Macaca fascicularis: one gene and its partner. The protein of the gene in region 1 interacts with the protein of each later gene in a pairwise test. Links are inferred from orthologs where the notes say so. Each region holds a gene or a part of one and is shown on either strand. Other genes may lie near its edges.

Region 1 (8,344 bases):
GCAGTGGCCGGATCTCGGCTCACTGCAAGCTCCGCCTCCTGGGTTCACGCCATTCTCCTGCCTCAGCCTCCCGAGTAGCTGGGACTACAGGCGCCCGACACCTCGCCTGGCTCGTTTTTTGTATATTTTTAGTAGAGACGGGGTTTCACCGTATTAGCCAGGATGGTCTCGATCTCCTGACCTCGTGATCCGCCCGTCTCGGCCTCCCAAAGTGCTGGGATTACAGGATTGAGCCACCGCGCCCGGCCTGCTTTTTTAAAATGTAGATTCCTGCCACCCCTTCCTCCCACTTCCTATCTCAGAAATTTGAGGGTACAGCAGAGTGACCATGCTGTCTCTCCTTCCAGGATTTGAACCCTAGCTCCTCACTGTGCCAACGTGTATCTCTGTACACGTTACTTAAACTCTCTGAGCTTCAGTTTTCTCTTCTGTATGATGGGGATACTTGTCAAAGAAGGTGGTTGAGAGGATTAAATGAGATGATGCGTATGAAGGCAGTCAGCACAGTGCCTGGCAGACGGTCATCTCTGAATAAATGTTAGTGGTCCTGAAACGCTTATGGAGTACCTCGTAGACTAGCTGCTTGGACTTTAAGGACATACACAGAACTACAAATGAAAAATTACAGTAAAATGGGTAAGAGCTGTCATGGGAATAATTTGGACGTATTGCTGTTGATGGAGAGGGAGTGATAGGGTGGTTAAGAAAGGGGAGACGGCCGGGCGCGGTGGCTCAAGCCTGTAATCCCAGCACTTTGGGAGGCCGAGATGGGCGGATCACGAGGTCAGGAGATCGAGACCATCCTGGCTAACACGGTGAAACCCCGTCTCTACTAAAAATACAAAAAACTAGCCGGGCGAGGTGGCGGGCGCCTGTAGTCCCAGCTACTCGGGAGGCTGAGGCCGGAGAATGGCGTGAACCCAGGAGGTGGAGCTTGCAGTGAGCTGAGATCTGGCCACTGCACTCTAGCCTGGGCTACAGAGCTAGACTCCGTCTCAAAAAAAAAAAAAAAAAAAAAAAGAAAGGGGAGACATTCGGGCCGGGCGCAGTGGCTCACGCCTGTAATCCCAGCAATTTGGGAGGCCGAGGAGGGCGGATCACGACGTCAGCAGATGGAGACCATCCTAGCCAACACGGTGAAACCCCATCTCTACTAAAAAAAAAAAAATACAAAAAACATTAGCCGGGCATGGTGGCGGGCGCCTGTAGTCCCACCTATTGGGGAGGCTGAGGCAGGAGAATGGCGTGAACCCAGGAGGTGGAGCTTGCAGTGAGCCAAGATGGCACCACTGCACTCCAGCCTGGGTGACAGAGCGAGACTCCATCTCAAAAAACAAAAACATAAAGAAAGGGAAGACATTTGAATTTGAGACTCCAAAGTGGGTAGAAGAGCATTCCAGGCCAGGCACAGTGGCTCTCGCCTGTAATCCCAGCACTCTGGGAGGCCGATGTGGGCGGATCACGAGGTCGGGAGATGGAGACCATCCTGGCTAACACGGTGAAACCTCGTCTCGACCAAAAATACGAACATTATTAGCTGGGCATGGTGGCAGGCGCCTGTAGTCCCAGCTACTTGGGAGGCTAAGGCAGGGAGAATCACTTGAACCCGGGAGGTGGCGGTTGCAGTGAGCTGTGATCGCACCACTGCACTCCAGCCTGGGCGTCAGAGCAAGAATCCATCTGAAAAAAAAAAGAGAGACTATGGCTCAATTTTATGCTCTGAGCTAACCTGGGAGTTTGAACACCTGAAGACTGTTAAACGTTTTACACAAGGTAGCAACACATTCAGATTTGTATACATATATACTTTTTTGAGACAGGATCTCCCTCTGTCGCCCAGGCTGGAGTGTAATGGTGGGATCTCAGCTCACTGCAACCTCTGTCTCCCGGGTTCAAGCGATTCTCCTGCCTCATCTTCCTGAGTAGCTGGGATTACAGGCAGCCACTATCACGCCCAGCTAATTTTTGTATTAGTAGAGACGCGGTTTCACCATATTGGTCAGCCTGGTCTAGAACTCCTGACCTCAGGTGATCCGCCTGCCTCAGCCTCCCAAAGTGTTGGGATTACAGGCGTGAGCCACCGTGCCCAGCCAGATCTGTATTTTAGAAAACTCAGTGGGAGCTGTTTGCAGTGCAATTAGAGGCAACCAGACGAAAGGGCACCAGCGAGCAAGCCACTCATAGGAACACAGTCCAGAGTGACCATGACGGCAGTGAAAGTAGGAGATGCCCCTGGCTACAATTTAGTGTTTAGAAGTATCTGGGCAGGTGACCCCAAAGCCTCAAAAGAGAGGAGAACTCTGTACTTCACGTGGCTTGGCACACTCTGCTCCCTTTGCTTTGAATGTCCTTCCCCTTTTGTCATTCAGCAGTCAACACATGCTACCTCCTCTGGGAAGCCCTCTTGGATTACTCCGCAGACTGGATGGAGGGGGGCTCTGCTCTGTGTTCATGTCCGTTTCCCATGATAGCGCTTGTCAGCATTTGTCATCCTTTTGTCATGCAGTTTCCTGGTTCCTCTCACTGGTGTGTGAGTTTGAGGAGTGCAGGGCCCAGCATCCATCACCTTTGCACCCGCAGTGCAGGTGGAGTGTCCATAACAATGTCCTGAATGAATCAATGAAAATGAGAACGTCAGCCGGCCTGTGGAGAAGCTAGAGGAACGAGAAGAAACAGACCGACATGGCCGGGAGCGATGTTTCTCGCCTGTAATCCCAGCACTTTGGGAGACCGAAGCGGGTGGATCACCCGAGGTCAGGAGTTCGAGACCAGCCTGGCCAACATGGTGAAACCCCCGTCTCTACTAAAAATACAAAAATTAGCCAGGCGTGGTGGCGCTCGCCTGTAATCCCAGCTACTTGGGAGGCGGAGGCAGGAGAATCGCTTGAACGCGGGAGGCGGAGGTTGCGGTGAGCCGAGATCGCGGCACTGCACTCCAGTCTGGGCGACAGAGACACCGTCTGAAAAAACAAAATAAGAAAAAGAAAAGAGAAACAGACTGATATCCCAGGAAGCCTGGCCGAGAACTGAGGCCCCAGGGCCACACGCGTCTTTTCTCCTGCAATCCTGTCTGGGAGCCGCCGCCTAGAAGTCCCGGGCAGTCCGGGAACGCGAGCCTGAAGCAGCACCGCGCGGTCGGCGGCGCAGGCGCACGTCTCTGCGGGAGGCCGCGAGGCCCCGCCCCCGGGCCCTAGACCCCGCCTCCCATCCCCCTCATCCCCGGGCCGGGCAGGGCGGCACCGCCCATGAGGCCGCATGCGCAGTGCGCGCGCGAGGGCGCCTTGCCCTTCTCCCAATGGCGGGCCGCGGGCCCCTTCCCGGCAGCCTCCCTCGGGCAGGGAGCGCGTCATTTCCGGTGGGGAAGGCCCGCGGCTGCCGCCGCCATTTCGGGCGCTGCTGTGAAGCTGAAACCGGAGCCGGTCCGCTGGGCGGCGGGCGCCGGGGGCCGGAGGGGCGCGCGCGGCGGCGGCACCCCAGCGTTTAGGCGCGGAGGCAGCCATGGCGGGCAACTTCGACTCGGAGGAGCGGAGTAGCTGGTACTGGGGGCGGTTGAGTCGGCAGGAGGCGGTGGCGCTGCTGCAGGGCCAGCGGCACGGGGTGTTCCTGGTGCGGGACTCGAGCACCAGCCCCGGGGACTATGTGCTCAGCGTCTCAGAGAACTCGCGCGTCTCCCACTACATCATCAACAGCAGCGGCCCGCGCCCGCCAGTGCCGCCGTCGCCCGCCCAACCTCCGCCGGGTGAGGGACTGACGGGACGGGGGGCCCTGGGCGGGGTGAGGGCCGCGGAGCTCCCAGCCCGGCTGGCTGCTCCTTGAGAGCGGACCCTCGGGGTCGTGGGCAGAGGGCTGGGTGACCGTGGCAGGGGCCCGCCGGCTGCTGGGGCTCATTCCCACCCGGGGAACAGGAGTGTGGGGGAGGAGGAGCCGCGGACCGAGGCCCCGGGGTGTGCCTGGGAAGGGCAGCCCCGGGGAAGGGGAACTGCTTCGGCCCCAGGGTGGGGCTGGCTCCCGGGCCAGGCGCAAGGGTAGGGCAGGGCAAGGCAACGTGGGGACAAAGAGCTGAGGGAGATGTTGGCACTGCGGGGGCATCACTTGGCAGCGGCGCCCAGAATGAATCCGATAATCCTACAAGTGGCTTTTGGGCTGGAAGCGTTTCCTGCCGTGTTGGAGAGCCGGGTTTGGCCGTGCTCCCCTGGTGGCCTTTGGTAGGAAGTCACCACAAACTGGCCGGGAGGGATGGAGACACCCTCAGGAAACCGGTTAGTTTTTTCCTTTCTTGGGCATTTTTCCAAAATCCTTGTACCGTCCTCTTCCCCCGTGGAGGACGAAGGTGGTGAATTAAGTGATAGAAGAAAGCCTTCAGTGACCAGCCCAACCCAGTTTAAGGCGATGCCTGGCTGCGTGCAGGACATCTAAGCGTCCAGAAGACTGTCCGCCGGTAGAGGGTTCTGGTTTTCAAAGTGTTTAGTGGAGGAAAGACATTTTATTCCAGAGAATAAACCAGAAATGAGGCAGTGGAAACAGACCCTTCCCTGGATGTGACTGGAGCTTCATTTTCCTTGGACTTAAACATTGTCAGTGTGTACTTCAGGGCGTGACCTTGCTCAGTAAGATGGGGCTGCGGGCTGAGTCTTCCTGGATGCTGGGAACAGACTCTACGCCAAGAACATAAATTACCTGCGCTGGGTTTTTCTTGCCAGGGATCCCTGAGATTGACTGTCTTTCCGATGCCGTTGGAGTTGATTTGGGAGTGTTTCAAGGGAATAGATAGATGCCCTTAGTACTGGAGATTTGTGAGGTACGAAGTAATTCTGGGGTTCTCATTGTATGTGTACCTGTTTAACAGCATCAGGAGTCCTCGTGCCTTCACACTGTTGCCAAGTCGAAGCTGTTTCTTCTTGGCCGCTGAGACTGGGTTCAGACTAGTCTCCTATGAATCAGGAAGCTCCTGAGCCATCCTCTCTAGACTTTCTCTTGTAGGATCGTTCTAATTTAGATTTACTTGTTCCGGCCAGAAATGGAGAATTGAATAGCCAGTCTCTTTGTTATTAACACATACCAATTTTTATTTTACTTTTTCCTGAGACGGAGTCTCGCTCTGTCGCCCATGCTGGAGCGCAGTAGCACGATCTCGGCTCATGGCCACCTCCACCTCCCCGGGGCTCCCGGGTTCAAGATTCTCCTGCCTCAGTCTCCCGAGTAGCTGGGATTACAGGCACCCACCACCACAACCAGCTAATGTTGTATTTCTAGTAGAGACAAGATTTCACCAGATTGGCCAGGCTGGTCTCAAACTCCTGACCTCAGGTGATCCACCCTCCCAAAATGCTGGGATTACAGGTATGAGCCACCGTGCCTGGCCAACACATAACCAATTTTTTTCTTATTTTATTTATTTATTTATTATTTATTTATTTTGAGACAGAGTCTCTCTCTGTCACCCAGGCTGGAGTGCAGTGGCGCCATCTTGGCTCACTGCAACCTCCGCCTTTTGGGTTCAAGTGATTCTCCTGCCTCAGCCTCCTAAGTAGCTGGGATTACCAGTGCCTGTCACCACGCCCATCTAATTTTTGTATTTTTAGTAGAGATGGGGTTTTACCAGGTTGACCAGGTGGGTCTTGAACTCCTGACCTCAGGTAATCCACTCGCCTTTGCCCCCTCAAAGTGCTGGGATTACGGGTGTGAGCCACCGCACCCAGCTTTGTTTGTTTGAGGCGGAGTTTCACTTTTGTTGCCCAGGCTGGAGTTCAGTGGTGTGATCTCAGCTCACTGCAATCTCTACGTCGTGGGTTCAAAGGATTCTCTTGCTTCAGCCTCCCTAGTAGCTGGGATTACAGGCACACGCCACCATGCCTGGCTAGTTTTTGTATTTTTAGTAGAGATGGGGTTTCACCATGTTGACCAGGCTGGTCTCGAACTCCTGACCTCAGGTGATCCGCCCGCCTCAGCCTCCCAAAGTGCTGGGATTACAGGTGTGAGCCACCACACCCAGCCCAACACATAACTATTTTTAGAAAATGAGTATGGGGTCTATAAGTTCACAAATTATTGTAGATCTTTCTCATTCTGGCCAGTTTAATGGTGTTATGAGATGGGAATATTGATGTACCTGTGTTGGCCCTGAACCAGATATATGCTACTTTGATGCCACCTGCGTGGTATCTGGGGTTTTGCATTATATGTAGTAACATGATGGCAAACTTACTGAAACTCACTTTTCAGCCTTTTGTTTGTGTTTGTTGGTTGCCAGAGTTGAAAATGGCAGCCGGCAGGTTTGTTAGCTTGATATTTTTTCACATCTTAGCATAACGATTTTTATATCTCAAGCCTTACTTGGATAATGGAGCACCACCTTTTCAAAACAGATAAGAACTCAGTTCCTTGGCCCAGGAAAGAAGGTGAAGATTGCCAAAGTTTGTGGATGGGGTGTGGAATATTCACGAGTGTTGTGATAATTCTGCCATATTGTACCCCATTTTCTACGATTCAGTTGCTGTCTTTTCTCTCTTCTGAGACAGGGCCTTTGTCTCTCAAGCTGGAGTGCAGTGGCATGAACACAGCTCACTGCAGCCTTGACCTCCCGGGCTCAAGCCATCCTCCCACTTTAGCCTCCTGAGCAGCTGGGACTACAGGCATATCCACCATGCCTGGTTAACTGTTTAACTTTTTTTTGTGGAGATGAGGGGTTTCACTGTGTTGTCCAGGCTAGTCTCAAATTCTTGGTCTCAAGAGATCCTCCCGCTTCAGACTCCCAAAGTGCTGGAATTGCAGGTGTGAGCCACTGTGCCTGGCTCAGTTGCTGTCTTGTTTGTTTGTTTGTTTGTTTTTTGAGGCAGAGTTTTTTTTTTTTTTTTTTTTTTTTTTTGAGACAGAGTCTGGCTCTGCCGCCCAGGCTGGAGTGCAGTGGCCGGATCTCAGCTCACTGCAAGCTCCGCCTCCCGGGTTCACGCCATTCTCCAGCCTCAGCCTCCCAAGTAGCTGGGACTACAGGCGCCCGCCGCCTCGCCCGGCTAGTTTTTTGTATTTCTTAATAGAGACGGGGTTTCACCGTGTTAGCCAGGATGGTCTCGATCTCCTGACCTCGTGATCCGCCCGTCTCGGCCTCCCAAAGTGCTGGGATTACAGGCTTGAGCCACCGCGCCCGGCCGAGGCAGAGTTTTTACTCTTGTCTCCCACGCCAGAGTGCAATGGCGTGATACTGACTCACTGCAATCTCCGTCTCCCAGGTTCAAACAATTCTCCTGCCTCACCCTCCTGAGTAGCTGGAATTATAGAGGCCCACCACCATGCTCAGCTAATTTTTGTATTTTTTAGTAGAGATGGGGTTTCGCCATGTTGGCCAGGCTGGTCTGGAACTGCTGAACTCTGATGATCCACCCGCCTCGGCCTCCCAAAGTGCTGGGCCTGAGCCACCGCACCCGGCCTGTCTGTATAACCTCAGAATTACTTTGTACCTCAAGTGCTAAGTGCTTTGTACCTCAAATCTCAAGTGCTAAGTACTGAATCTTTGTTTTTCCTCTCACCAAGTCCTTTTGAAGTCACACAGAGAAATTTCTTGAATTTTAAAGAGGCGTATACAATATTAATAACTAATGTTTATTGACTGGTTATTCTGTGCCAGGTACTTTGCTTGAGTACTTTATGTGCCTTATTTCACCTGCTGTCTAGGACAGTCTGGTGAGATAAGTAATATGATCTCCATTTATTAAAATATTCCCATTTTATACAGGAGGAAACACTCAGATTCAGTAACTTGCTTAAGGTCACACAGCTAGTAAATGACTTTCCAAAGTTGAACCTAGGCATTCTGACCTGAGAACTGACCCTTTTATGCTACACTTGTCAGAACCAGCGTCCTTTTGGGATGTCAGCAATGCATGTGGAGGTCTGTATCCTCAATATCCTCAGTACTTTGTTTTGTTTTTTTGGATGGAGTTTCGCTTTTGTTGTCCCCCAGGCTACTAGAGTGCAGTGGTGCAGTCTCGGCTCACTGAAACCTCCCCTTCCCTGGGTCAAGTGATTCTCCTTTCTCAGCCTCCTGAGTAGCTAGGATTACAGGCATGCGCCACCATGCCCGGCTAATTTTTTTTTTTTTGTATTTTTGGTAGACACAGGTTTCACCGTGTTGGCCAGGCTGGTCTCGAACTCCTGACCTCAGGTAATCTGCCTGTCTCAGCCTTGTGTTTTTTTTTTTCCCCACCGTGTTGCTCAAACTGGAGTGCAGTGGCTGTTGACAGGCACAGTCATAGTACACTACAGCCCTTAACTTTGGGGCAGGCAGTCCTCCTGACTCAGGCTCTGAGTAGCTGGGACTTCCAGCATGTACAGCTGCATCCAACCCAGG
Region 2 (7,839 bases), on another chromosome or scaffold:
CTCTGCCACTCCTTCCAGTGCATTATTTTTAGTATCTTCATTAAAGGTGCAAAATAAAATAAAATAAAAATAATAGAAATTCCGTACTTGTAATAACAAAACAATGTTGGAAACTGTCATTAAATCAGGACAAGTGAAAAACAGATCTGTTCCCAGACTCACAGGACTATAAATTTAGGAAGTACACAAAAAAATTAAAAATTAATTACACTCAATAGGATACATTAAATATGTACAGTTTTTGTATGTCAATCATACCTAAGTAGTTTTAAAAACAAATGATCCCACCCATACCGCCAACTAATAAAGAACAAACAAATGAGTCATACAAAAGAAAAATCACACATTTTGGTTTACTCCTACTTTTTTTTTTTTTTTTTGAGATGGAGTCTCGCTCTGTCGCCCAGGCTGGAGTGCAGTGGCCGGATCTCAGCTCACTGCAAGCTCCGCCTCCCGGGCTCACGCCATTCTACTGCCTCAGCCTCCCGAGTAGCTGGGACTACAGGCGCCCGCCACCTCGCCCGGCTAGTTTTTTGTATTTTTTTAGTAGAGACGGGGTTTCACCGTGTTAGCCAGGATGGTCTCGATCTCCCAACCTCGTGATCCGCCCGTCTCGGCCTCCCAAAGTGCTGGGATTACAGGCTTGAGCCACCATGCCCGGCCTACTCCTACTTTTAAGAACACTAACAATAAAATTTGCATGCAACGAATACGGTTCCCTAAATACAACAGATGAATTATTTTATATACACATCTTATTTTTATTTATGGAGAATCGGTTAATAAACACATTTTAAGTTCAACATATTATGTATTTATGAGTGGAAAGCAACCTTAAACATTTTTAACACCAGAAATATACAAAACAATTATAAGTGAAATAATACAAAGTCCTTGTGTTTTGATCCTGGAGTCAAACCACAGAAATCTCAGGTTAAGAGAACTTTGAAAAATATTGTTTCGAATATTAAAAATCATGTGTTTGAGGAAGGGAGAGAATTAACAGCCTTTATTTGCCTTAAAATACTTTATGTTTTATGAAATTGCAATTGGAATGAAGCAGCTCCTAAAGTAGTCAGTGTTCAGAGGAAAAGAAAATTGAGCACAAGAGCCAGTTGAGTTTTACTCAACTCCTTCACAATGCTCAGCTGAAGAACTTCTCACTTAAAAGACCTGTTGAAGATCAGGCACAGTGGCTCATGCCCATAATCCCAGTATTTTGGAAGGCCGAGGCGGGTGATTACTTGAGTCCAGGAGTTCGAGACTAACCTGGCCAACATAGGGAAACCCCATCTCTACTTAAAAAAAAAAAAAAAAAAAAGCTGGGTGTGGTGGCTGGTGCCTGTAATCCCAGCTACTCAGGAGGCTGAGGCAGGAGAATCACTTGAACTCAGGAGGCAGAGATTGCACTGAACTGAGATTGAACAAGTGCACTCCAGCCTGGGCAACAGAGTGAGACACTGTCTCAAAAGACAAAACAAAACAGAGCTGCTGCTGAAGTCATGTCTATTTTAGAAAAGTAGTACGAATGAGTTTTTCTATATATTAGCTACAATTTATGGTAATTTGCGAAATGTTTTTCCGTTTTTAAATCTGAGAGTCTCTATCTCCACTCACAAAGCAACAGGCACTGCTAGGGCTCTTAGGCTAACATCTGCCACCCCACCAGTCTGCATGGTCCATAAACAGGTGTGCAGAGGACCAGAGTTCACCTGTCAGCAGCCCCGCGGAATCCGACTCTCCAGACTTTCTGCCATTAATTACCATAGATGTGGCCTTTTTCCTGATATTCTATTCCCATTGGAGGCTTTTTATTAAGACCTTGTTCCTATAAAGCAAATAAAATGTTTGTTTTCAAAAAGTTAAGAATCAAGAAATATCAAAAATAGCCAAGAAACCCGTTGCTGGAATGCTGTTGAAATTGCCCTTACAACTTTAGGATCATAGGTAACAAGCCTATGACGCTGTCATTCGAGAATGAAGATCATTAGCCAAGTTAGCATGCCTCTGAAATATGTTCCCCGACTTGTGCGAACCATGGACAAGAGACCTTGGAGGGGCTCTTTGCATCACTTTCCCAAAAACCCAAGTATGTCATTAAAGGACTACCCAAAGTGACCTCCTCACTTCTATTCAACTTGCTTGGCATAGAGAGATTATCAAAATACAGCAAAAAGCAGGATATCCCAAAGGAAAAGCCAATCACACATTCACACACTTCCTCCTGTGGGAGATGGTCTTGCTATGTTTCCCTGGCTGAGAAATTACCGATCTAGTCAATTCTTCCCTTAACTTAAGGAATCTCTTCTTTGATATTGACGTTATTCCAGGTGTTTGTATGTGCACCATCCCTGTTTAGACTGTAGGCTACTTAAAGGAAGAGCTTTTCTACTAGTCATTATTTCTGTGTAGGGCATACACTTTGAATATAGTAATTATACAATGTTTGTTGCTCCCAGAATTCTGTGTCTCCAGGTAGAAGCGTTAAACCCTGACACAGAAATGCTTTCTGTTTCCTGGGGATAAACTTAACTGAGTAATGATTTTCTTGAAACTCTTTACTGACAATTTGAGCTTGAAATACATGGCTATATAAGATTAATGTGTATCTTGACTTTCTGCAATTGAAAATCCAGCACCCACTTTTAGTTTGTAGAAAAGCATCAGGTAATTACCTGTGAACACATTTGGGGCACAACATATTGTCTTCAAGATGCGGGGGTGGAAAATTGGAGGCAGGAAGCAAGAAGAGTGCACTCACTCTCCCTTCTTGCTTTTCTGGAACCCAGGCTTGACCAGCATGAAACTGCAGGTGAACCCAACCATCTGTGTCTGCAGGGAGACTTTTCCCATGGACCACACACCACCTGACACCTGGCGAAGGAGAGAGACAGGCACCCACACACCAGGATGACATACCGAAGTAAGGCTGCATTATGGCCCATCACCCTTGATTGACCAACTCCAAGATGTGAACCCTGAAATCCTAACTTAACCTCTTCTCTATTCTGTTCTCCTTTAGAAAAGCATACAAGACAGTTCCTGTTAAAACTTAAAAATCTAGGCGGGGCACGGTGGCTCATGCCTGTAATCCCAGCACTTTGGGAGGCCAAGGCGGGCGGATCATGAGGTCAGGATATCGAGACCATCCTGGCTAACACTGTGAAACCCCGTCTCTACTAAAAATACAAATTAGCCGGGCGTGGCGGCGGGCGCCTGTAGTCCCAGCTACTTGGGAGAATGAGGCAGGAGAATGGCGTGAACCTGGGAGGCGGAGCTCGCAGTGAGCCATGATCACACCACTGTACTACAGCCTGGGCGACAGAGCAAGACTCCGTCTCAAATAAACAAACAAACAAACAAATAAATAAATCTAGTTGGAAGTAGTATAGTTGTAGGTGGGCAGATGGTAGAAAGACTAACCCAGAGTGTCTGGAAAGGGCTTCATGAAACAAGCTCAGGGGCCCCAGCTCTGAACACACATTGGATTGTGCTAAACAGTTTATTGTCTTCTTTTGTTGTATTTTCTGTAATTCTTACAACATATAAGCTAGGTGTCGCCCATTTTACAATGAAAACACTGGGAAATATTTTAAATAACTTATTAATGCCATTCTGGGGCTCAGCTGCAGGCAATTAATTTTAGATCTTACTTTTAAATTGCTTAGGCCGGGTGCGGTGGCTCACGCCTGTAATCCCAGCACTTTGGGAGGCCGAGGCGGGCGGATCACAAGGTCAGGAGATCGAGACCATCCTGGCTAACACTGTGAAACCCCGTCTCTACTAAAAATGCAAAAAATTAGCCGGGCGAGGCGGCGGGCGCCTGTAGTCCCAACTACTCGGGAGGCTGAGGCAGGAGAATGGCGTGAACCCGGGAGGCGGAGCTTGCAGTGAGCCGAGATCGCGCCACTGCACTCCAGCCTGGGCGACTAAGCGAGACTCTGTCTCAAAAAAAAAAAAATAAAATAAAATAAAATTGCTTAAAGGGGAAAGAAAGAAAACCAAACTGCTATCCTCTTCTGATGCCATCAATCATTTAAAGCAGTGGTTCTCAAACTGTGGTCCCCAGACCAGCATCCTTACTGCTGCCCGGAAAACTGAGAAATGCAAACTCTCGCTGGGTGCAGTGGCTCACACCTGTAATCCCAGCATTCTGGGAGGCCGAGGCAGGCGGATCATCTGAGGTCAGGAGTTTGAGACCAGCCTGACCAACATGGAGAAAACCCGTCTCTATTAAAAATACAAAATTAGCCGGGCATGGTTGCGCCTGCCTGTAATCCCAGCTACTCAGGAAGGCTGAAGCAGGCGAATTGCTGGAACCCGGGAGGTTGAGGTTGTGGTGAGCCAAGATCGCACCACTGCACTCTAGCCTGGGCAACAAGAACGAAACTCTGTCTCAAAAAAAAAAAGAAAGAAATGCAAATGCTCAGGTCCTGTCCTAGACCTGAATTAGAAACTCTGTGGGCAGGGTCCAGGAATCGCCGGCCCTCAAAGGCATTTTGATATACCCTAAAAATATATCAGGCATTAATCTCTACTAAGCTTATTTCCCCACTGGACCAGAATAAGCTCTTCGTGTTGGGCTTACCACAGGCCTCTTGTGGAGATTCCACTGCCTCTGGCGTCCTCGCCCTGGCCGAAATTCTCGCCCAGGAGGCCAGCAAAGCCTCTGGGGCAGAAGTTGTCACCACAACTGTATTAACTCCCTCAAGGAGAGCAGTGGAATCTTCCAGGGCAGGCGGCCCCTCCGCAGGGGGAAGGGCCACTTCAGGAGGATGTGTCTCAGAACTTTGCAGGGACGTTTCCCCTTTTTCCACCTTTAATTTTTTTTTCAATGATTTCCGGATTTTGGCCTCTTTTGCTGTGCTAGGAAAATCCTACAGAAAGGGTTAGATAATAAAGATAAAAATAAAGATTAAAATTCTAACAAAAATAAATGGCCTCAGAGTTAAGAAGTTCTTGATCAAATGCAAAGTTTCACTTAGACAGGAGGTCTAGGTTCAAGAGATCCACTGTACAACTTGGTTAATTACAATGTACTGTCTTCTTGAAAATTGCACAGTTGGCTGCACATGGCTCAGGTCTGTAATCCCAGCACTTTGGGAGGCCAAGGTTGGTGAAACACTTGAGGTCAGGAGTTCAAGAACAGCCCTGGCCAACGTGGTGAAACCGCATCTCTACTAAAAATACAAAAATTATCCAGGCGTGGTGGTTCATGCCTGCAATCCCAGCTACTCAGGGGGCTGAGACTGGGGTATCACTTGAACCAGGGAGGCGGAAGTTGCAGTGAGCCTGCACTCCAGCCTAGGTGACAGAGGGAGACTCTGTCTTTAAAAAAAAAAGAAAGAAAGAAAATTGCTGGCCGGGCACAGTGGCTCACGCCTGTAATCCCAGCACTTTGGGAGACCGAGGTGAGCGGATCACGAGGTCAGGAGTTCTAGACCAGCCTGGCCAACATGGTGAAACCCTGTCTCTACTAAAAATACAAACATCAGCCAGGCGTGGTGGCAGGTGCTGTAATCCCAGCTACTCTGGAGGCTGAGGCAGGAGAATCACTTGAACCCAGGAGGTGGAGGTTGCAGTGAGCTGAGATTGCGCACTGCACTCCAGCCTGAGCAACAAGAGCGAAACTTTGTCTTAAAAAAAAAAAAAAGAAAGAAAGAAAACCTGGGCACGGTGGGGCTCACGCCTGTAATCCCAGCACTTTGGGAGGCTGAGGTGGGCAGATCACCTGAGGTCGGGAGTTTGAGACCAGCCCGACCAACATGGAGAAATGCCGTCTCTATTAAAAATCCAAATTAGCCAGGTGTGGTGGCGCATACCTGTAATCTCAGCTACTCGGGAGGCTAAGGCGGGAGAATCATCTGAATCCGGGAGGCAGCGGATGCATGGAGCGAAATTCTGTCTCAATAATTATAATAATAATAATAATAATAATATAGTATGTAAAGTGATGTATGTATTAATTAGCTTGAGTTAGCCATTCCACAATGTATACGTATTTCAAAGCCATGTGCTGTACATGATAAAAATATACAATTTTTGTCAATTAAAAAAATTTAAGTGCTGCCTCTTTTTATTTTTGAGACAGCGTTTCACTCTTGTGCCCAGGCTGGAGTGCAATGGTGCATCTCAGCTCACGGCAACCTCTGCCTCCTGGTTTCAAGCAATTCTACTGCCTCAGCCTCCTGAATAGCTGGGATTACACACATGCACCACCACACCTGGCTAATTTTTGTATTTTTAGTAGAGACAGGATTTCACCATGTTGGCCAGGCTGGGCTGCCTCATTTTTATTATTCTTTGCAGACTTGGTGAGAAGTAGGGATGGAAGGCCAGGCACGGTGGCTCACACCTGTAATCCCAGCACCTTGGGAGGCCGAGGTGGGCAGACCACGAGGTCAGGAGTTCAAGACCAGCCTGACCAAAATAGTGAAACCCCACCTCTACTAAAAATACAAAAAATTAGCTGGGCGTGGTGGCGGGTGCTTGTAATCTCAGCTACTTAGGAGGCTGAGGCAGGAGAATTGCTTGAATTCGGGAGGTGGAGGTTGCAGTGAGCTGAGATGGTGCCACAGCACTCCAGTCTGGGTGACAGTGTGAGACTCCATCTCAAAAAAAAAAAAAAGGAAAGCAGGCATGGAAAATACTGTTCTTTCTTAGAACTAGGGGTGGAGGGACAAGCGGAGGCTAAGACAGCTCCTTTACTCACTTTTGAGGCTACAATAGGTAATTAGGATAAGCACTGAAACGTACATCCTTTAAAAAGTTACCTTTTGATTTGGGTAGGCAAAGGCACACAGGCGCTTATATGCATCCAATTTCTAAGACAACAGAAAACTGAGTTAGTAAGGCAAGTAAGGTTCCTACCCTTCCTCCCAGCAGTACCATCCCCAGCCTAGGCCCTCACCTGGCCTTTGGAGCTCAGCTTCAATTGTTGGCACCAGGCCCGCAGAATGTCCCGGTGAATCAGATTAACAGGTGGCAGTTTAGAGGGTAATGGAGGGATTGGTATCTTCCTCTGAGGTCTGGGGTTGTCACTGCACTCTGCCTTCTTCTTAGGACAGAGCACTGAAGGAGAATGGAATCAAATTAGTAGTAATTAACTTTGTGTACCTTTTCAGAATTTCAAAAGTAAAATCACTGTTTTTTTTTTTTTTTTTTGAGAGTCTTGCTTTGTCGCCCGGCTGGAGCGCAGTGGCGCAATCTTGGCTCCCTGTAACCTCCGCCTCCTGGGTTCAAGCGATTCTCCTGCCTCAGCCTCCTGAGAAGCTGGGATTACAGATGCCCACCACCACGCCCGGCTAATTTTTTTTCTATTTTTAGTGGAGGTGAAGTTTCACCATGTTGGCCAAGCTGGTCTCGAACTCCTGAACTTGTGATCTGCCCACCTAGGCCTCCCAAAGTGCTAGGATTACAGGCCTAAGCCACCGCGCCCGGCCTAAAATCAGTTTTAGTTATTAATAGTTCAATCCCTCTCAAACCTAGGACTTACCACTTCTAAATCCCAGTTTTATTCCTCAATCTCCCCACTACTCAGGTACACGTGCTCCTTTGTGAACCCTTTAGTCCACAGAACCCAGGTGGTGGCACCGGAGATGCCACTTCCATCCCAGGGGAATTATCACTGTCTTAGACTTGAGATCATACCTTTGTGAACCCCTTAATCCACAGAACCCAGGTGGTGGCACCAGAGATGGCACTTCCACCCGAGGGGAATTACCGCTGTCTTAGACTTGAGATCATACTCAGTGGTGTCCTCTACACACAGAGCAAACTCAACACCTGACAATACTACACAGGCAACCACTAATATTCCTAATTCTGCCAGCCCACCCT

What was found. The genes of interacting proteins can lie anywhere in the genome.
Region 2: the proteins of CRK (region 1) and DPPA4 interact in binary tests that used the Homo sapiens proteins (3 or more experiments, as listed by UniProt). The two-hybrid records come from large-scale screens. The link is inferred for Macaca fascicularis from reciprocal best matches to the Homo sapiens genes CRK and DPPA4.

The regions. Positions count from the first base shown.
Region 1 is NC_088390.1:1,560,470-1,568,813, reverse strand, and holds the start of CRK (adapter molecule crk), read left to right. Parts: upstream 1-3,354; 5' UTR 3,355-3,498; coding exon 3,499-3,739; intron 3,740-8,344. UniProt on the Homo sapiens protein: Involved in cell branching and adhesion mediated by BCAR1-CRK-RAPGEF1 signaling and activation of RAP1.
Region 2 is NC_088376.1:173,737,871-173,745,709, reverse strand, and holds part of DPPA4 (developmental pluripotency-associated protein 4), read right to left. Parts: intron 7,072-7,839; coding exon 6,911-7,071; intron 6,825-6,910; coding exon 6,774-6,824; intron 4,878-6,773; coding exon 4,589-4,877; intron 2,875-4,588; coding exon 2,676-2,874; intron 1,829-2,675; coding exon 1,792-1,828; 3' UTR 1-1,791. UniProt on the Homo sapiens protein: May be involved in the maintenance of active epigenetic status of target genes. May inhibit differentiation of embryonic cells into a primitive ectoderm lineage.